Cricetulus griseus: one gene and its partner. The protein of the gene in region 1 interacts with the protein of each later gene in a biochemical or structural test. Links are inferred from orthologs where the notes say so. Each region holds a gene or a part of one and is shown in the gene's direction. Other genes may lie near its edges.

What was found.
Region 2: the proteins of Hdac6 (region 1) and Tppp form a complex in vitro, tested with the Homo sapiens proteins (2 studies listed by BioGRID). The link is inferred for Cricetulus griseus from reciprocal best matches to the Homo sapiens genes HDAC6 and TPPP.

What each region holds. Positions count from the first base shown.
Region 1 is NC_048604.1:114,410,034-114,413,685, reverse strand, and holds part of Hdac6 (histone deacetylase 6), read left to right. Parts: intron 1-95; coding exon 96-200; intron 201-320; coding exon 321-389; intron 390-3,652.
Region 2 is NC_048595.1:368,690,305-368,693,956, forward strand, and holds part of Tppp (tubulin polymerization-promoting protein), read left to right. Parts: intron 1-3,391; coding exon 3,392-3,545; intron 3,546-3,652.

The sequences.
Region 1 (3,652 bases):
CCTCAGTTGCTGGCAGATTTACAGAATCTATGCTGGAAGAATTGGGAGCATGGGAGGAAGACTCCCAAATCTGTAACCTTCCCTTTCCTGATTAGGCCTCCAGGACACCATGCCCAGCACAGTCTTATGGATGGGTATTGCATGTTCAACCACGTGGCTGTGGCTGCCCGCTATGCTCAAAAGAAGCACCGCATTCAGAGGTCAGCAGCAAATGACAGATGGGATAGGGGTAGCATGGAATGGGGGTACTGAGGTCCTGGCTGCTCCTCTATATTTCACTTGATTCCCTTGCACAGAGCTACCCTCTCTCCTGCTCACAGGGTTCTTATCGTGGACTGGGATGTGCACCATGGTCAAGGAACACAGTTCATCTTCGACCAGGACCCCAGGTATATCACAAGTCCCACTCTAAATACCAGACTACTAACTACTTCTGTCAGGTCCAGCCGTAGGAGTTAGGAAGGAGGGAAAGGCATTCACGTTCATTGAGTTAGCCTGGAACAAGGAAACGTACTGCTTCCTGGTTGTCTGCTGTCCCTAATTACTCTGAAGCAGGAACTGTGGAGTTCCCATTTTACTGTTGGTGAAACTGATCCTTACAGGTTACAAGTCATGCAGAGAAGTAAAAAGAGGGGGGATTTGACTTGGAAGTATTCGGAGGTCTTGTCCAACAATTTACCCCCAAGCTGGAGTGGACCTCAAATTAAAACGTTGTTTATTTTTAATTATGACAGTACTTCAGACTATCTTTAAAGTTAAATAGGGGGCTGGCAAGATGGCTCAGCAGGTAAAGGTACTTTGCCTGACAACCTGAGTTTGATCCCCAGCACCCACATGGTAGAAGGACAGAGAACCAAGTCCTGTAAGTGGTCCTCTGACTTCCATATACATACCATAGCATGCACATACCCACACACATAAACAAAATCAAAATAACTTGACAGTTTATGTTTAAGCCTCGTAGATTTTTATGCATATGCAAATATTCACTATTATTAATAACATAATACCAATGGGATAATTTCCATATGCTCATTGTCAACTTTATTGGGAACACATTTACTATGTTGATGCTACAAAAGCATCTTATTCCTTGTAAAGACTGTAGAGTATTTCATTGCATTGTTGTACTTCTGGTCATTTAATCCTGGGACATTTAAGATACTTCCTAGTTTTTTCTATTTTAGACAATTCTACTATGAATAGTATTATAAATATTTAACTTACATCTTTAGGTATATCTGTATAATGAATTTCTAATAGTGGATTGCTGAGTCCGACAGATCCACATGCTTTAAGGTCTGATATATGCTACCAAACTTTACTCCAGAAGGGTGACAGTTTATCCTTTCTGTAGAAAATGATTAAGTCCTTGACACTAGGGGTATTATATTGTAAATAGTAGTTGTTTTCTCTGGCCTTCCATCCAACTGATTCCATAGAATCTGCTTGTGCTCTTGTGGCCCTTGGTCCCATCTAGATGCTTTGTTCTTTAAACATTGCTTTACTATTTTCCAGCATTTGGTGCTGACAATTGTCTTTTTCACTTCTTTCTGAGTTATCTGTTTTGCTCTCTGAAGAGCTTTAGACTTTTCTCTTTTTCCCATATGTTATCCCACAGGAATTGTAGGTCCTGTTAACTTCTCTTTAGCAGTGGGCTGACATTTTACATTGGCAGCCTTACACCTTCTATCTTTGCACATGTTCTTATATTAGATCTTTGATAATTACTTTATTTTCTCTGTTCTCTCTCAGGCTCCTATTAGATGTTAAACCTCCTGGCTTGATCCTTTATGGGATTTTGTTTTGTTTTGATTTGACTTTTGAGACCAGGTCTCTAGCTCAGGATGACCTATTGTTAAGTGGGGACAGGAGGTATTTCCCTTTGACACCCCAGGGCCAGGGCAAGTAAGTAACTGTCTAGGATTATTCTTATAGTTTTAATTTAATTTTTATTTCCCTTCTCTGCCTTTTCAGTTCTGACTTCCTGCTCTGAACCCTCAATCCTAAAGGATGGTCTGCATTTTCTTACTTTGAACTCCTGCCTCTACCTCCTAAGTGCTGGGATTATACCATGTGCCATCAGACCTGGTTTATATGACACTAGAGAGCTAACTTAGGGTTTCATGCATGCTAGGCAAACATTCTACCAACTGAGCTACATCCCCAGCCCTGTGTGGCTTTTTAAAAAGAAATCTTTACTCCTTAAAAATGACTGTCTTGCCTGCATGTATGTGTGCACTGTGTGCATGCCTAGTACCCTCGGAAGCCGAAAAAGGGCATTGGATTCCTTGGAACTTGCTTTACAGACAATTGTAAGCTGCCATGTGTGCTGAGAATCAAATGCAGGTCCTCTTGGAATAGCAAAAATCCCCTTAACTGCTGACATCTCTCCTCCTGTTAGGCTTATTTCCTGTTTTTCTATCTCTTTTTACTTTTACTCAGTGTCCTGAGAGATGGCCTTAATTCTGTTTGTAAGTCCTCCCGCTGAATTATGCACTCTGATTTTGTTTTTCTTTTGAGACAGGGTCTTACTGTGTATGTAACTCAAGCTGGATTTGATCTTATTCTCTGTAGTTCAGGCTGGCCTCCAACTTGAGACCCTTCTCCCTCAGCCTGCCCAGTGCTAAGACATGATGCTACCCTCTCTAGCTAGACATGCTTTTGATAGGCACAAGCATTTTCTTTCTCTCTCGTTTTTTTATACCCTTTCATTCCTAAGCTTGTTTTTTATAGAATAAGAATTAGCCGGGTAGTGGTGGCATACACCTTTAGTCCCAGCACTCGGGAGGCAGAAGCAGGTGGATCTCTGTGAGTTGGAGACCATCCTGGTCTACAAGAGCTATTTCCAGGACAGCCTCCAAAGCCACAGGGAAACCCTGTCTTGAAAAAAAAAAGAAAAAGAAAAAAAAAGGTATTAGAGCTGGCCTGTGGTACCACACTCAGGAGGCAGAGGCAAGCAGATCTCTGTGAGTTTGAGGCCAGCCTGGGCTACAGAGTGAGTTCTAGGACAGCCAAGGCTACACTGAGAAACCCTGTCTCAAAAAATAAACACCAATAACAACAAAAGAATTAGAAGTGCCTTAAGTTTTCTTCTATTCCATGTTGTTATGTGTCTTCATTCTGAGGCTAACTGAATTATCTTCTTGGTTCTTCTTTTTGTATCGGTGCTTTTCCTCAAATGTCTTCTTTTGGCTATTTATACCTTAAATTGAAGGGCTGGTCTTCAGGCCATGAGATTACTGTGCTGTGCTATTTGTAGATCAGTGTTCCTAAAAAGCATTTCCCTAGAATGGAAACAGAGGATGTCTGCTGATATAGATCTCAAGTTTAGGGACTGTGGGGAAAGATCCAGGCCCATTAGGTTGGATTTTGTAAATACCAGGGAAAAAAAGAATACCTCTTTTTTGGGGGAGTAGAGGGTACACATCTTTTATTTAGTTAATTTTATTTTTATTTTTATTTTTTTATTTTTTGGTTTTTCGAGACAGGGTTTCTCTGTGGCTTTGGAGGCTGTCCTGGAACTAGCTCTTATAGACCAGGCTGGTCTCGAACTCACAGAGATCCACCTGCCTCAGCCTCCCGAGTGCTGGGATTAAAAGCGTGTGCCACTACCACCCGACAATTTTATTTTATTTATTTATTTATTAGT
Region 2 (3,652 bases), on another chromosome or scaffold:
GGGATCCCTTCCAGGTCCTTTGCTGCTTTCAGACCACCACATGTATGGGGAGGGAGTATCTTTCCACCCTCGAACCTTCTCGGTCTGAATGGTATCTAGCTGGTGGTTACTTCAGAAGCAACAGCTTCTGTCAATGCCAGGAACTGAGAAGCCCAGGCCTCCCTGTCTTGTCCCGAATGCCCCAGTCTTTCATCACTTACGAGTTTCATTACTTATTACTCAAGCCTTGACAGGGACCTCTTCACAAAGGTGATGAATGGGCCGGACTAGGGGATCTGTGAAAGCCCAAAGGTGAGGTGGGGAGTGGTAGTTTTGTGGTATTGGCCATAAAGGAGTAGACCTTCCTCAGAGGGCTCTGTTGCCTGATGCTAGGTCCTGACCCGCCTATCCAGGTACCAGGGTTCCCAAGGGACTGAGAAGGTGCACTGCACATATGGGGACATGGCCTGGGAAGCAATCCCAGGCTCTTGAAATATATTTGAGCAGAGACCCACTTGTAGGCCAGCTTTGGACAGCTTGGGAACCAAAGACAGGGAAGGCCAAGCCCTAGGAAGAGCCCTCAGTCCTGGGATGTCTAGATATAGGCTCACTGTGTAGGAGAGCCCTGCAGTTTTCACATTTGTGAGGAAGAAATGGGCATTGTTTTCCCAGAGCTAGTTGGGGATTCTGCTTCAAGAAGTGCCTGGGTCTCCTGGGAAATTCCCTGTGAACTAGGAACCAAGGCAGGGACCCCTCTCCCCAACAATACAGATTTATGGGGACATAGGCCAGAAAGGTTTTCTTGGTACCAGTAGAACAAACATCCAGTTCTATCTGAATGTGGCCTGTGATGGCTGAGTCCCTCCAGTTACCCCATCCCCCAGTGACTCATGCTGGTGGTGCCTGGTGCCGAGGCAGCCCAGAAAGGGCTGTGTGCCCCAGCAGTTGGTTGCCAGGCTGGTCATTAGGCCTGGCATCCTCATGTCAGCCCAGGAAGGGTTGGGAGTAGGAGACAAGAGCGCTTTTGACTTCTCAGGACAAACAGAGCAGCCCTGAGGGGCCTTAGAGCAACACACCCCCAAGGTCCTAGTAGAGAGGGAAAAGCTGTCATCTCCAGGCACCATTGGACTGTGAAGCCAAGCTGCTCAACTGCCCTGAATCTCCCAGTATGTCAAAGGTAGCTGGTAAGTACTGGGGCTGAGAGCACTGAAGGACTAGAACCCACCCTCTAAGACACAAGGCTTCTACTGAGATTCCATTACCTGCACCACAGGCAGTTCTACAAAGTTCTAGGATCCGCAGTGTCACTGTGGGACTCTAGCTCCTGTGTTGTGTCCTCGATCCAAGTGTAATGCCTCCGTGGCTTCCCCAGTCTCCTGAGAAGTAGGTGCAGTCTACAACATGGGGTTCCGTGCATTTCTCAAAGGGTAATTGGCTCAGCTCTCCCATTTGTTTGTAGAATGCCCCATGTGTTCAGGACTAGTGTAGTGTGAGACTCTTGTAGGCACCAGTAAAAACTCAGGGTGTGTGGAACAGTAGTATTTTCACATCTGGTTCCTCAGCCCAGCCACTAAGGGTCCACTTTGTGACTGTGTTGTCACTGGTGTAGCCTCACACTGCTGTCCACAGAATGCTTTATTGGGCCACTGCTAAAGGACATTTGGGTGCTTCTCAAGTTTGAATGACTGAAGAAAATCTGTACAATATTCACAAATGGGTTTAACATGAGCTTAAATCTTCATTTCTCCTGAAAGACTGGCTCAATGTCATTCCTCCTTAGCCTGCAGCGGTCAATTTCCCCCATTACCTCTGCTGTTCTCATGGGTGACTTGTCATGTGAGCTGTTTTCCCATCAGTGGGTTTTCTTTGGGGAGGTATCTGGTCCAAATACTTGGCCCATTTGAAATTTTCTTTTTTTTTCTTTAAAAAAATTATTTTGGCTTTTCAAGACAGGGTTTCCCTGTGTAGCTTTTGGAGCCTGTCCTGGAACTAGCACTTGTAGACCAGGCTGGTCTCGAACTCATAGAGATCCACCTGCCTCTGCCTCCCAAGTGCTGGGATTAAAGGCGTGCACCACCCCTGCCCGGCTGAAATTTTCTTGTTAAGTTGCATATTTCAGATACAAGCTCCTTTTCAAGTTAGTGTGTTCCAAGCATTTTTTTTTCAGCTCTGTGGTATTTATCTTCAGTGTCATTTGAAAGGACATGGATTTTAATATTCTGAAGTCCAGTTTGCCTGTTTTCTATTATTGAACATGATGATTTGGCATCATTTCTAAGAAAACCTTGCCCACCCTAAGGTCACCCAGGTTATCTAGATATGCTTGAGAAGGTTGACTCTGGAGTCCTGCTGTGGATCCTAGTTGGTTTATTTTGCAGAGGTAGCAGTTGTTCTAGTAATTTCTTGAAATAGTCCTTTCTCCTTGAGCTTGTTCAAGTTAGTCACCTGTGTGGGCTCCAGATACACTGATCTGTATGTCTGTCTCATACTGTCTCCTTCATGAGGCTTTGAAAGGTGTCTTAGACTAGTGTGGTCTCAGGCCTTCAACCTTTTTGTTTTCATAAACTCATCCTGGCTGCTCTGGAACCTATGCTGACGGACAGTCATAGAAGCCCCACTGGGATTTTGTCAGTCAACTGTTTGAAAGTCCTGAACTCGTAGCACTGCAGCTGGGGTCAGTGGCATGCCTGGCCATAAGAGGTAGCTTATCTCAGGCCATTGGACTAAAATGCCCCAGCAACATGCAGGACTTCACACTATGTCAAAACATCGAAAACTTCACTAATTTGAATTAGTTGGGGGTGAATGCCAAGTTGAAAATGGTTTAAAGTAAAATTACTATAAATAACTTCATAACTTTTTATGAAGGGAGGATTTTGTGAAATGACAGGGAATCTAGGATGCTCCCCCGTGGCAGGGTGCACATGGTGGGTGAGCATTGCAACTTCACGCCATCCTGCTGACCAGGCTGCTTGGCACTGTGCACTCATAGGACTCTGAGCAGGACAGGTGTTACAGCTCCTCCTAATCTTGCCTACTGTGATGACCATAGCCTTAGGCTCCTCCTGGGCCACTTCTAACCCTGGTTTAGGCCTGGGTTCCCTCCTGCTCCTTGACTGGCTAGGGTGTCCCCTGAAAAGATAAGAGGATCTTCTCTCCTGGTTTTCCCTCTGCCCTTGCACCCAGGAGAGACCACACTGCCGCTTGTGGAACAGACAGAAAAGTCCTGACACTCTGTAGTTCTTAAAGAATATGCTTCCTTCATTCTTTCCAGTCTGTTGGCAGTGGCTGGTGACTTTTGGCCATGGCCAGTGGGGATCACTGCAGAATGCAGGAAGGGATGGTATACATGTGGGGTTGGTCCTGGAGGACTGCATACTACCTGAGGACTCAAAAAGTTTGTCACCCACAGAGGGAAGTCCTGCAGGACCATCACTTTTGAGCAATTCCAGGAGGCGCTGGAGGAGCTGGCCAAGAAGCGGTTCAAGGATAAGAGCAGCGAGGAGGCTGTGCGTGAGGTGCACCGGCTCATTGAGGGACGATCACCAGTCATCTCTGGTGTCACGGTGAGGGGATGAAGCACTGGTGGGACTTAGTACTCTTGCTTGCATCTGCCCTTGGGGAGACCATGGCCCGGTAGACTTGTTAGCCCTATAAGTCTGGGGCTAACCTG